Linked DNA regions of Nothobranchius furzeri. Each later gene encodes a partner of the first gene's protein in a complex. Links are inferred from orthologs where the notes say so. Each region holds a gene or a part of one and is shown in the gene's direction. Other genes may lie near its edges.

Region 1 (7,006 bases):
AGCTAGTTCAGATCATTTTATTACAATAACTAGAGTTGTTGCTGAAGGCTTTACTGAGCTGTGTGGGAGGACACCACCTAAGCAGGTTTACCACAGGTGTGTGTGTGTGTGTGTGTGTGTCTTAAGTGTTGTTTTCTTCCATCTCTACCATTCCTTCCTTTAAGTAAGAGCTGTGTGGGACTGTTGAGGGAAGCTTTTCAGTCCAGCCTTTTATCCTTTTTTTATTATGATTTTTTTTGGCAGAGTAAATCCTGGATTATTAAAGAACGTTTTAGAACTAAAACGTTTGAACTCTTATTCATTTGTGTAGTGTTTAAATGTGAGTCTGTATTTATTGTTGAAATCATACAGTCACTGATATCGGGGGTTAAAATAAAGGATATTTTCATTTAAGCTGATCATTTTCATTCATTTTACTCCAAATTTGTCATCCTTACCTCTCCTGGGTTATGTTGCACATTACCAGTTTAGTTATTAGTATTAGCACTTTTATCTCATTTAACTCCATCTTTGTTCCGTGTGTGTGTGGGATGTACCTGTTTATATCTGTGATGGTCCTGGGAACGGCAAAGGCTTCTGGTCAGGTTTATTCTAAAGAATGTCAAAGTTCCTCTATGCAACGCTTGCATCTTGGTTTTATTCTGTGGCCTCGACCCACGAGCACTTAGCTGAGAATGTAATCTCATCATATCCACTGTTCTGCATAAATGTGTCGGGGACGACATATCTCACAGTTTAAGGCCTTTTTCTTCCAAGGGGTTGATACTTTTACATTGGGTGCTTTTGAAATGTGCATTGATCTGAGCCAAGTGAGAAAACTGAGAGGAGAAGTCTAATTTGATTTGGTTTCCTCCAAACACACGCCTGTTTCCCCTGTGCACTACATATGTAGTTTCGACAAAGCAATGCCATCCGAAACAGAAATGCAAATGTTTTTCAGTCTACCATAGGATGTATTCACTGTACTGTTTACTTTTCATATAAACCAAAGATGTCTCCCTGTTGTAGTTTATCTTTTGCAGTATGTTATTTTCTGGCCCTGATTTTAAATAAAATTAGAGTATGTCTGATTTTCTGGCAGATTATTTTTTACAGTGAATTATTTGTGTCATAATGAGAATTTTGAGAACTATGGAGATAATTTATTGTGATTTTTGAGATTTTGTGTCACCATATTTCCAGAATGAAGGGCACAGGACTAATTTTTCTTTTTAAATACTGTATTTGATGACCTTCAAAAAGAATCCAATAAAATCACTGTCAGAAAAGTAAATTTAAGTGACAGAAACTAAACGTAATAAAAGAAACTGGTGAGGAAGGAGTGGTTTCGTGACTGACAGAAATGCAAAATGATTTACAACTTATACAGGAGGGTGGCATGTTATCATACATTATGTTGATAAATATCATGTATGTAGCAGTATTCGGGATTAAATATTCACAAATGAGCTGATAAGGAGCAGGACTGAAACGAGCACAAGTTTGGGATCAAATTACTTTATTTTCTAGATTCCAGAAAGTCCTTCATACCACATTTGTCCAGGAGGGGGCGGCAGGTCGTCCATCTGCGGTTAATACCATCGAAGAAGAAAATGGAAGCCTTCTCTTCCGCCACAGCTCCGGTGTCTGACACATGAGGGTTTAACTTTTCTCCCATTGTGAGGCGCAGCAAATTGACTAAAGCATCTGGAAACACCTAGCTGACGACAATGGTTGGTATATTTATTTACAAGGCAATGTTTACCTGGCGGTTTTCAGTTTTTGTTCTTTAGCTTGTCGCTGTAGTTTGGGGTTTTACTTTGTCTGTTGTGGCTAGCTATAGCTTTTCACGTTAGCTAATGTACATATTCATTTTGGCAGAAGTCTTGAGTTAGCTAAGCTATGAAAGAGATTTCTGTGACTCGTATAGTGTTGGTGCTTTACGCCTAGGCAAGTCAAAGCTACGTTATTCTTTCTTTTTTCAATTAAAACAGTCATGTGTAAATGCTAGCTTAATCTGAACCGTTATCGGTGTTTCTAGAAACCCATTTTGCTCCAGGGCCACGAGAGGTCCATCACACAAATCAAATACAACAGAGAAGGAGATCTGCTCTTCTCGGTGGCTAAAGATACAGTGAGTTGGTACACACTCGCTCTTCTGTCGGATCATTCAACACGACGTTTGGGAGCAGCCAAACTCATCCCTGCTGTTCTGCTGCTATCCAGGTTGCCAACGCGTGGTACTCTGTGAACGGAGAGAGGCTCGGGACCTACAATGGACACACCGGAGCTGTGTGGTGTGTTGACTGTGACTGTATCCTTTGCACCTCTGCCTAATGTAAGCTAGGGGTGTCTGTCAGTGAAGTTAGGCATCTTAACTAGTTGTCTCAGGGGACACAAAGAACGTGTTAACAGGATCAGCAGACAACAGCTGCAGGCTGTGGGACTGTGAGACTGGTAAGTAAACCTTAACAATGTGCTTTTCCAAAGAGGTGGACATGATTTTTAGGGTATTGGGATAGTTTGTAAACCTGACATCATGCTGTCTAAATGACATCTTTAATGTGTTTTCACAGGTAAACAGCTGGCTCTGCTCAACACCAACTCTGCCGTCAGGACGTGTGGGTTCGACTTCAGCGGCAACATCATCATGTTCTCCACCGACAAGCAGATGGGTTACCAGTGCTTCCTGAACTTCTTTGACCTGAGGGATCCACAGCAAATAGGTAAACATTAAATGCGCAAACACACACACGCACACATGTTCTGCAATGGTGTGGCCACAGTATATGGACTGGATATATACCATTTTAAACAAACTTTCTTACACTTTTTGCAATTTTTAATGTCAGTCAGACACCTAAATAAAGTTAATTTAGACCAATCCTGGTCCTGGAGGGCCGGTATCCTGCATGTTTTAGTTTGAACTCTGTTTCAATACTCCTGATTTCAATCAGCAGCTAATTAGCGGTCTTTTGCAGCGCCTGATGAGCTGCTGCACAGGTGTTTCAACCACTGAATCAAGTCTGTAGGAGCAGAAAAACCACAAAACCTGTTGGATACCGGTGTCGGCACAGGATCTGCTCGGGTGCAAAATTGGCTCAGGGTCCGTCGACTGCCGATGACGTCTAAGTAGTTGATTGGCTGCACATGAACCTTACGGAATTACGTAATCACGTTACGTTGTTATCACGTTACGTTGGTCCAGGCAAATCTTTCTGTTGGAAAGATGGACAACTTTTACAAAGAAATCCATCATTACCTCTTTGAAAATACACTTTGAGCATAGAGCTGCATGTATATTAGGGCTGAACGATTAACTGCATGTGTAATTAAATTGCGATGTGACAAAAGGAGATTTTCTAATCGCAAAGGCTGCAATTTGGCAGCGAGTGGTTAGCGCAATGCTAATATACATGGAAAAACCCATAGGAATGCTAATGCTAATATCGCCGATTACATGATCAAATTATGAATTAGAAACGTGCCAAATGATTACATTTGGAGTCTAATAGAAAGTAAAAATACCATCAATCAAATAAGTACAGACAGGTATTTTAGTAAAGCCAGAAAACTTTTAACTCCAGAGTTTTGGCTAGCAGCTATGAGCGTAATGAACTACGCATGGACAAGACGTCAAAAACTCTAAACACAAAATACTTCAATAAATGGGACACACTTCTTTCCTGCAAATACAATTTCACAGGTGTTGCTAATACCTATGATTCTTCAAGGGATGTGCTCAAAGAGGAGTTCAACATCATGACTACAATATAGTGTTTTATTTTACAAATACCATTATAAACACAAACTTACGTCTTAAGAAACATTATTTTAATAAGGAAACTGCTAAATTCTTTCCAACAGTATAGATGTGTACTGTATTTTGTCCGAGTGGGTTTGCCGTACTTTGACGTCATCGGCAGTCGAAGGACCCCGAGCCGATCTTGTACCGACACCGGCCCTCCAGGACCAGGATTGGGCACCCCTGATTTAGAGTATTTATTATGCAGATGTTATTAGTGAATGTTGGGGAAAAAATTTGAATTAAATTCTGCAACAGCACCAGGGTGACTATAGATGTGCCTGACTTTAAATCAGCTTTACTAAGAAAAAACAGCCGATGAATAAAAAACTAAACATTGGCCAACCAATATAATCGGTCCACCCCTAATTCACTCATTCCTTTATTCCATGTAGCAGCTCAGTGGTCACTGTTTTTCAAAATTGCATTGATTCATGTACCAGACTATTAGACGAAGAAATAAGTTAAGATCGTCTAGCCTAGTGAACTAGACCAAATTCTTGCCTTGTAATGTTTGGTGTGGGAACGCTCCACCGGAACTTCTGAGGCCTCCTAGCAGCATTCTGGCAGATGTGTTTTAGTCTTTTATTTAGAAAAAGGATGTATTTTTGCCGCCTTCAACGGCAGACATCCTTGTTTACAGAGGTTGCGGTGAGTACTCCACGTTGTTCGTTGTCCAGTAGGGTGCAATGATTGTTTGAAAGACAACGGTAGAACCCGCCCCACGACAGGCAATGGAACATTAAATAATATTATGGATTTAGTCTGGCGTGCCAGGCTAAAGAACATCCAAAATATCTCAATTTAGAGACTATTTTAAGCTAAAGAAGGTCATAAAAGTGCCAACTATGCTTCTGTTGAAACACACGTAGATTTCCTCAATAACACGTGTGCAGCAACTTTTCCCACACTGAAACATTTCAAAATGAATTGACATGTTTTGTGCACGTGTCCTGAATCAAGTTGAAGATGGTGTGATGTAGGGTCGTCACGGTGTGAAAATGTAGCCTCGCGGTTATCGTAACCAAAATGAAAACGGTATTATCGCGGTATTTTTTTAAACGTGTTACATTTTCAGACAACTAAATAAACCCTGTATGTCAGGAAAATATTGTCCTCAGTTTGTGTCTAAATTTTGCCTAAAACGTGTTATTTTGTAATTATGTTGTTTATTTGTTTACATTTTTCCCCTTTAGTCTTTAAAATACCAATATTTGCCCATAACTTCAAAATTTTTTGTCTGTTTGATGTCATCATTTTAAAAATATTAGACCAGATGATACTCAGTACTCAAGTAGCCTTCTAATCAGATACCGTATTTTCACGACCATAGGGCGCACCGGGTTATAGGGCGCGGGCATGGGCACGTTCAAACGTACCGGTGTCGGTACAGGATCTGCTCGGGTGCAAGATCGGCTCGGGGTCCTTTGACTGCCGATGACGTCAAAGTACGGCAAACCGACTCGGACAAAATACACTACACATCTATACTGTTGGAAAGAATTTAGCAGTTTCGTTATTAAAATAATGTTTCTTAAGACGTAAGTTTGTGTTTATAATGGTATTTGTAAAATAAAACACTATATTGTATTCATAATGTTGAACTCCTCTTTGAGCACATCCCTTGAAGAATCATAGGTATTAGCAACACCTGTGAAATTGTATTTGCAGGAAAGAAGTGTGTCCCGTTTATTGAAGTATTTTGTGTTTAGAGTTTTTGACGTCTTGTCCATGCGTAGTTCAGTTACGCTCATAGCTGCTAGCCAAAACTCTGGAGTTAAAAGTTTTCTGGCTTTACTAAAATACCTGTCTGTACTTATTTGATTGATGGTATTTTTTACTTTCTACTAGACTCTAAATGTAATCATTTGGCACGTTTCTAATTCATAATTTGTAATAATGTAATCGGCGATATTAGCATTAGCATTCCTATGGGTTTTTCCATGTATATTAGCATTGCGCTAACCACTCGCTGCCAAATTGCAGCCTTTGAGATTAGAAAATCTCCTTTTGTCACATCGCAATTTAATTGCACATGCAGTTAATCGTTCAGCCCTAATATACATGCAGCTCTATGCTAAAAGTGTATTTTCAAAGAGGTAATGATGGATTTCTTTGTAAAAGTTGTCCATCTTTCCAATAGAAAGATTTGCCTGGACCAACGTAACGTGATAACAACGTAACGTGATTACGTAATTCCGTGAGGTTCATGTTCAGCCAATCAACTACTTAGACATCATCGGCAGTCGACGGACCCCGAGCCGATCTTGCACCCGAGCAGATCCTGTACCGACACTGGTAAAACATTGTGCGGGCTCGGAGCATATCAGTGCAAACCAGACATTGTGAAAATTATAAACAGCCAAATAATGCTTCACTTTACTGGTCTAGTCCTGGTTTAGAGCGCACGTGCACTTCCTCATTGCGTGTGCTGACGGCTCGTGCTCTTCTAATGGGCTCGACACACGGGAGGCAACTTTGCCTCTCCATTCATTTTCAATGAGACACGCGCGACAAAGCGATAATCGCGTGTCTCCCTCCTGTTACAGCCGGGCGTACACCGGGTGTTCTAAGTACAACCAATGTAATAAAAATGACTCAACGTTCTTCAGCTCAAGAGGTGTCGTGTTTATTTCTCAGCCCGCCGAACTCCTTCTAAACTCCTCCCACTTCAGGCAAGTCTTAAAGGCATACACACTGTATCTATTCACATGACATCTCCCCTCCTTTGAGTCAGAGACGGTGTAAACAGAGTATGTGAAAGAACAAAGTACATCTTTTCCTCAAAGCATTGGAACCCTCTGCAACAGCAACCGACAGTAGGAACATAACATAGATGCTTTTAACCAAAGAGTCAATCACAATAATTACAAACGATCACCCAACACTTTTTTTTTTTTCTTTCTTTTACATGAGAGAAAAAAAAATGGAGGCAACAGGCAACCATACATGCGTCGTTGGGGTGATGGGGTGGACTACCCAAACACCCTTATAGCGGCCGGAGGTTATTCTGCTCCATTTAGGCCGGCTATACGGTTCAATAACAAACAAAGTCCTTGAGCCTCCTGGGGGGCCAAATGACTCTGCCTGTAGAAGACATCCGAGCTGATCCTGGAGGACAATCAGAAAGGCCTGCTGGGACGGTCCCTTGGGCAGGCGAAACAGACTCTTCAGTAGGTGAGGCAGCCCCTCTAACCGGGGAGCCTAAAGGTGTGGGTTGGG
Region 2 (7,321 bases), about 37 Mb from region 1:
GTGGAATGTGGTTTTGTTATTTTAACGGCGGCACCAGCATCCAAATCTGTCAAAGTGGGTGTTCTCCACATTTACCGGGTAGGAAACTTTGGTCCGCCTTTATGTGGTACTGCAGGGCTGAGTGCTGGAGTTGTAACCTGAGACCGAACCGAATCAGCCCAATTGGTTCTGTTGGATTTGGGCCGTGAATTATGTTAATTGAGCGGGTTGTCGCACGGCGCACTCTGCTCGCTCAATCGGCGACTGAGATGAGGGGGTCGGAGGACACTCCTCCAAACACGCATTATTATTTTCATAATTTCATTATTATTTCTCTTCGAAGCGCTCAGTCAGTGTTGTGATGTCGAGAGATCTGGCCTTGGGGAGGGAGCGGGGTGAGTGACGGCGGCTGCAGCGTGATCATCTGTCTCTTTTATTTAGGGACACGGAGAAGTTAAAAGGAGAGAGAAATAGAAGATAGAAGTTATTGTTCCACTTTATTCTTTTGTTTAATGATGATAAACTGATGTTAAATTCAGCTTAAAGAGAAACTGGGAGGAGGCTTTGGTTCATTTTAAGTTACGGGAGATCTTGTATGATCTGCTCCTCCAGAGACGGCATGGACATGAGGGTTACATGGTGAGGGTCCCACAGGACAGGTTAGTGCAGTCACACAGCTGAGCTGGAGAGGGACAGGTGTTCTTAAAGTTAAAGTCCCATTAGTTGTCACACACACAGGTGTGTGTGCGAAATTTGTTCTCCGCATTTGACCCATCCCCTGGGGGAGCAGTGAACTGCAGACACAGCCGCGCTCGGGAACTATTTGGTGGTTCAACCCCCCAATCCAACCCCTTAATGCTGAGTGTCAAGCAGGGAGGCATTGGGTCCCATTTTTTCTAAGTCTTTGGTATGACCCGGCCAGGAATCAAACCCTGATCTCCCAGTCTCAGGGCGGACACTCTACCTCTAGGCCGCTGAGAAAGGTACTTCTTTATGTTGCAAGCTTGTGTGTTATGTGCATCACAGCCAGCGATCCAAACAGCAGCCCCCCCCCCCCCCCCCCCCCCCCCCAAAAATCCGGCCCTCTTGCTTCTGGGTCTTTTTTGTGAGTAGCCCTCGGACCGTTATAACTGAGGACCCCTGTACGGTGTAGATGATTATTGATGTTGCAGTATTGAAAATGTAATAACATGGTAATATTGACATGAGCAGTAGCAATAATGCAAAGGCTTCCAACAAATGACAAACTCAAGCTGCAAACAACTGTCCTAAATCCCTACATGTAGTGTTGATAGTGTCATAAGATAACGTGGGTGTATCACAACCGATATTGTCATTAAATAATAATATGACCTGTGCTGCCCTCATCATTATTTCCACTTGTACCATCAGCATCATCACCACTACTGCCTTGATAAACTGCTATGTAGAAAACAAATGTGACCTGGTTCTTCTATGTAACAGCTGCTCTGTCTGCTGAGGTTTGTAGTCCAGGAACGGTTCGGCAAAAACATCTCATGAAATTCTGTTCACAATATTATCGCTCTCTTCTCTTAGCATTGGATTTTACCATGAACTCACATTTCCTTTTGATGGTTGAGGTCAAACTTAAACATGCACACACACACACACACACACACACACACACACACACACACACACACACACACACACACACAAACATTTACACACACATCCATACACGGCCATAAAATTAAGCTAACAGTGAAACATTTGTAAGCACTTATCTATGAATAAAACTATATCTATAAAAGGAGGATATCAATTAGAAATAATACAGCCTAACCATATGCTTGTTCCAATAAAAAAGTTTTAAATTTATCTTCAAAATAATTTCTCTTAAAAATACTACTACTGTGACCATGTAGATAATTATTGTGAATCAACATGCCTTCTCCGGGTCAGGGAGAAGGTCCTGCCTCAAGTGGAGAAGTTTAAAGAGCAAGTCACCTCCAACCAGAGTCTTAAGGTTGGTTTATGCTTGATGCGTCCGCGAGGTCCGCACGGAAAAGTTGCGTCATTTTAACAACCACGCCCCTCCACCGCGCCTCCGCACGGCCCAGAATTTCCGCAATGCGCACCTCGGAAAATTTCTAACCACGCGGACGGACGGACGCGGAAAAACATGGCGGACCGGCAAGAACTAGTATGGCAGAGGTTCGTAAACACAGACATTTGTATGATTCAGCTCTCAGAGATCACCGTGATCAACATGTTGTTAATAACTCTTGGAGAGAAATAGCTCGCACTGTCGGAAAAGACGAGGACGCTGGTAAAAATGCTGAAATGCCATGTTGTAAACAGTAATTTCTACTTCTACTATGGTGTAGTGTTGGATGCATGCCGTAGAGCTCCATGCTGCCCCGTTCAGTTTGGGAGAATATTGACTCACCGCAGAGACGAGCCGCATGAACCATAAAAGCTGCAAGTTGTGAAGCTCGTTCCATCCGCGAGCCGCATCACCAAGCGGAAAGTGAATGCGTCAAGCATAAACCAAGCTTTACTCCACTCCCACTTCCTGTTTAAAAAAATGCAACAAATGCTGTTGCCTAGCAGACCGAGAGGGCGGAGCCACTAACAAATACACACACACAGGCTCACAACAACATTGTGACATAATAGTGTGCCAGCTAACATCATAGTGTACCTCTTTGCCAATAGCGATGGCAGATTTTAATTCAAATGCAGAGTTTTTACCTGAAGAGGGCACAACGACAGTTATAGGCAGAAGATTTAAAGTTTAATTAAGATGCACTACAGTGCCAAAATATTAACAACACGTGTCTACATCATGATTAGACAGTCGTTTATGTAGTTTATCAGCAAAAAAAGGGTTGATTTGGGGGTGACTTGCTCTGGAGGTATCTCAGGGTCTTGTTCTCTAGTGAGGGAAAGTTGGAGCGCGAGATCGACAGGCAGATATGTGCTGCACCTGCAGTGCTGCAGGCGTTGTACTAATCTGTCGTGGTGAAGAGAGCTTCGCCATCTGGCTCAGCTCTCGAATTATCGGTCAATCTACGTTCCTACCCTCACCTATGCTCACGAGCTTTGGGTTGTGACCGAAAGAACGAGATCGCAGATACAAGCGGTCAAAAAGAGTTTTCTCTGCAGGGTGGCTGGGCCCTCCCTTAGAGACAGGGTGAGAAGCTTGGTCATCCAGGAGGGGCTCAGAGTAGATTCGCTGCTCCTTCCCATTGAGAGGAGCCAGTTGAGGTGGCTCAGGCATCTGATTAGGATGCCTCCTGGACTCCTCCCTGGTGAGGTTTTCCAGGCACGTCCAACCGGGAGGAGACCTAAAGGTAGACCCAGGACACGGTGGAGGGACTATGTCTCTCGCCTGGCCAGGGAGCGCCTTGGGATTCCCCCGGAGGAGCTGGCCCAAGTGGCCGGGGAGGGGGAAGTCTGAACCTCTCGACTTAGGCTGCTGCCCCCACGACCCGACTCTGGATAAGTTGAAGAAAATGGAATAACATTCTTTCCAAAGGCTGTTGAGTAAAGATTTGGTCATTATTTTCTCTGATGGCAGGTTGCTGTGGACATGGAGTTTGCCAAGAACATGTATGAGCTTCACAAGAGGGTGTCACCCACTGAGGTCATCATTGGATGGTATGTCCGCTGCTTATATATATATATATATATATATATATATATATATATATATATATATATATATATATATATATATATATATATATATATATATATATATATATATATATATATATATATATATATATATATATTTTATATTAAAGAGAAGCCAAATTCTTGAACAAATGCACTCTTCCTGACAGGTATGCCACAGGGTTCGACATCACTGAACACTCTGTTCTCATCCACGAGTACTACAGCCGTGAGGCCACCAACCCCATTCACCTGACAGTGGACACGGCGCTGCAAAGCGGCAAAATGAACATCCGCGCTTACGTCAGGTCATCTGAGCTTCCTGTCCATGAATCTTTTAATGTGATCAACAGTGAGAGTGACCCTGTGTGTGTGTCTTTTAGTGCCCAGATGGGTGTACCAGGAAAAACAGTTGGTGTTATGTTCACCCCACTGACTGTCAAGTACATCCACTATGACACAGAGAGGATAGGAAGTAAGAGTGCCGAGAATAAATAAAATAACGGCCTCGTTTTAGTAGATTTTAACCGTACTTCATACTCCGTGTGTGTTCCAGTGGATCTGTTACAGAGGACACGTTTGGCTACCACACGTACCAAGGGCCTGACCTCTGACCTGTCTCAGGTGGGTGGTGCTGCAGCCAGGATACAGGACATGCTGACCACTGTTCTCGCATACATCGAGGACGTACTGGTGAGTGAACTTTAAAAATAAACTATTATTTACACCTTTATACTAATTAATTTAGTGTTTTAAGTCATTGTAGAAAACGTTTAGTTGGTGTTGATTAAAACGCTGATCATGGCTGTAAGATTAAGGTTGGTTTGTCTCAGTCAGGAAAAGTGACAGCAGATAACAGCGTGGGCCGCTTCCTCATGGACCTGGTCAACAAGGTGCCGACCATCTCAGCTGAGGACTTTGAGAACATGCTTAATTCCAACATCAACGTAAGAGATCCTCAACTGTACTGACTTCAGTTAGACCTTGCATTTGCCTTACCTCTATTGTCCCTTTGCATTACTGTAAATATGTTGCTTATTCTGGTGTAATCATGTAAATACTGTCATTGCTGCAGGACCTGCTGATGGTGACCTACCTGTCCAACCTGACCCAAGCACAGATTGCCCTAAACGAGAAGCTGGTGCTGCTCTGAGGACATTTCTGTAGATCATATTTAATTTTTTTTTTTAATTTTGGCCGAGAGAAATAAAGATGTTACCAGTCATTTATTTGTTTTCATTGGCACTGCCTTAGGTGAGTTTGTGACAACAAAACATGCAAAATGGGAACTAGTATTCAAAAGAATGATCATTTATTCATTTAAAACATGTTGCTTGTTTTACAGCTCATGGTTTTGGGATTTCCAAGATGTAGTTTAACTTATCAAAAACAATCATAAGTCAGGTTCCTATTACAGAACCAGAACAGCTTTCGTTTTCTTTGGTCTCTACTCAAACTTCACAAAGCAAACCAGAAAAATGTGTTAAAACCTGATTTTTAATCAAAGCCCCACAGATTCATTTTTTACTTAAATATACAATCAGAGGTTAATTATTCAAGTAGCAGGTCCAGTATGTGACAGGGCATGGCCGGCCTGAGTAACAGCAAAGTGCAGAGAGGGACTCTAACCCTAGCCCTAAAGCCAGTCCTGTCACCACCAGGCTGGTATTGCTGAGCAGCTGAACATAAGCCTACGGGTTGCGTTTAGATTTGTCCCCGTTTGCATCCTTGCTTTGAGGGTTTTTCAGGATCTTCTCTAGCGCAGCGTAGCTCCGCACCGCGCTGTCGTAGACGGAGTCTCCGGTTGACTTTGCGATGGCTGCCGCCTGCTCTGGGTAGTAAAGGGAGGCGCTTACGGCCATGAAACCCGCCGGGTAGAGGAGCTTCTTCACCCTGGAGCCTCTGGCCAGAAACAAGCCGAGCATTCCGGCAAAGCCGATGATTCCCGCCCGAGGATAGAAGTCCTTCGGAGGTTTCTGCAGACAAGCGTAGGCGTCACTCCCGAACTGGACGACCTTCTGAACTTTGGGTTTAATTTTGTCGAAGGTGCCCGAACACCAAGCCGAGTATGGCTCTGCTAGCTTCCTGAAGGTGGCGACACGCTCCTCCAGCTGCCCGGCTTCGGGCTCCGCATACCGACGGTTCTGCTGAGGAGCCGCGTACAGAGACAGTTCGTCCAGGCTCAACGGCGCCGTTGTCTCCTTTTCTCCGCCACCGGCAGCCCCAGCAGCAAAAACGGTGAAAGGTGGCAGTTGAGGCGCTCCCGGCATGGCTCTCTGTCTGTCACCTTGAACAAGGCCATGCATTCACTACGGCAACTGCGGAGGGGCATTACACGTGACGCCTTCTTGAGAAATTTGACGAACCGCGAAACTTTCAAATGTAACATCAGGTATATACATAAAATGAAATTATTCAATTGGGAAAATTATAGCCAACATTAAATAGCATTTTTACGCAGCTGTAGTCACAATAGCAAATACAGGATATAGAAATCCCCATCTCCCCGTTTCTTGAAGTGTCTGGTGGTTGCCAGGGCAACCGGATAGCCTCGTCGCCAGAAACCGTCAACACTGACCTCTCAAACGTCCGTTTAGCCGGTTATAAGCTGAAGTTCTAAACTAAGTTTGTTATATAAGCATTTGCATTTGTAGATGTTGTGGTTTGAGGTGTTTTTTTGAAAGGATTTAAGCTTTCCCAATGGCGTATCTTGGAGGATCATCTGCGCAGGACCTACTGGCTCTGTCTGCACTGTTATCCAAACAGGAGGAGGAAGATGAAAACTATAAAGTAAAAGTTTAAAATTCACAACCGTTTTGTAGTAATTCATACCGACTGTACTAACTGCCTGCATAATTCTTATATTTAGATTTGAGCTAAAATACTAGAAATTATATTTTCACCAGAATGCGGATGCCTGTGCACAGCTTGGCCCTGGACACATCGGACCTCCGCCAAAAACAGATGAAGGTGAGTTGTTTACTTGTAGTTCTCTACATTTATTCTGAATTATAGCAGTACACAAACTATTTCAGCCTGTTTTGCTGTTTAGCTTCAAGTTCCAACATGAAGAACTGCAAAGCAATCTGGAGTGAAGAAGAGGTGGCTGAGGGGGCCCATTATGATGATGTGGTAGATCCACGGCCTCAACCAGAGTAAGACAATAGTAATAGTTGGATAGGGAGGGTGGGTGAAGCATTTTTCTAACACACAATGGCAGAGTGGCTGGGATAAAGCTGGGGTTGAACCTGGTCTACCTCCTGGACCACCGAATTTAAAGAAGGCAGGCCCTTTCTTCATTTGATGGGACATTTTGAGAACAAGAAAGGCAGTTTTGTTATGTCTGTGTGCAGATATGAAATTATCCTGAAGCAGAATGTGGGAACCGAGGACCTGTTCTTAGGATTAAGCAGGAAGAATCCATCGTCCATGTGCTGTGAGGCAATGCAGGTATGTCATCAAACTTCTATTTGACAGAAGAAATCAAAATGCACAAAGGCTATGACATTCAGTTTCTTCATAAATACTTTTCTCCCACATTCAGGTGAAAATCAAACTACCAGACACTAAAGCAACAGATGTCTTTTTAGATCTTAAAGAAACGTTTCTTGATCTGCGAACACCAAAATAGTAAGAGATCATTTGAAAATGTTCACTTTCATTTTCCGGTGACTGAGCAGCTGCAGTTCAGTCTTGA

The links.
Region 2: eif3i (region 1) and eif3f share a complex: the UniProt entries of both Homo sapiens proteins name them as parts of the eukaryotic translation initiation factor 3 (eIF-3) complex. The link is inferred for Nothobranchius furzeri from reciprocal best matches to the Homo sapiens genes EIF3I and EIF3F.

Annotation. Positions count from the first base shown.
Region 1 is NC_091751.1:3,239,445-3,246,450, forward strand, and holds the start of eif3i (eukaryotic translation initiation factor 3 subunit I), read left to right. Parts: upstream 1-1,572; 5' UTR 1,573-1,709; coding exon 1,710-1,712; intron 1,713-2,020; coding exon 2,021-2,113; intron 2,114-2,205; coding exon 2,206-2,293; intron 2,294-2,370; coding exon 2,371-2,436; intron 2,437-2,555; coding exon 2,556-2,705; intron 2,706-7,006. UniProt on the Homo sapiens protein: Component of the eukaryotic translation initiation factor 3 (eIF-3) complex, which is required for several steps in the initiation of protein synthesis.
Region 2 is NC_091751.1:40,243,381-40,250,701, forward strand, and holds the end of eif3f (eukaryotic translation initiation factor 3 subunit F), read left to right. Parts: intron 1-3,526; coding exon 3,527-3,606; intron 3,607-3,794; coding exon 3,795-3,932; intron 3,933-4,007; coding exon 4,008-4,099; intron 4,100-4,180; coding exon 4,181-4,317; intron 4,318-4,457; coding exon 4,458-4,571; intron 4,572-4,699; coding exon 4,700-4,777; 3' UTR 4,778-4,849; downstream 4,850-7,321. Other genes in the region: MICOS complex subunit MIC26, read right to left, coding at 5,316-5,930; dnaaf6 (dynein axonemal assembly factor 6), read left to right, coding at 6,325-6,414, 6,531-6,594, 6,677-6,779, 6,978-7,074, 7,169-7,254. UniProt on the Homo sapiens protein: Component of the eukaryotic translation initiation factor 3 (eIF-3) complex, which is required for several steps in the initiation of protein synthesis.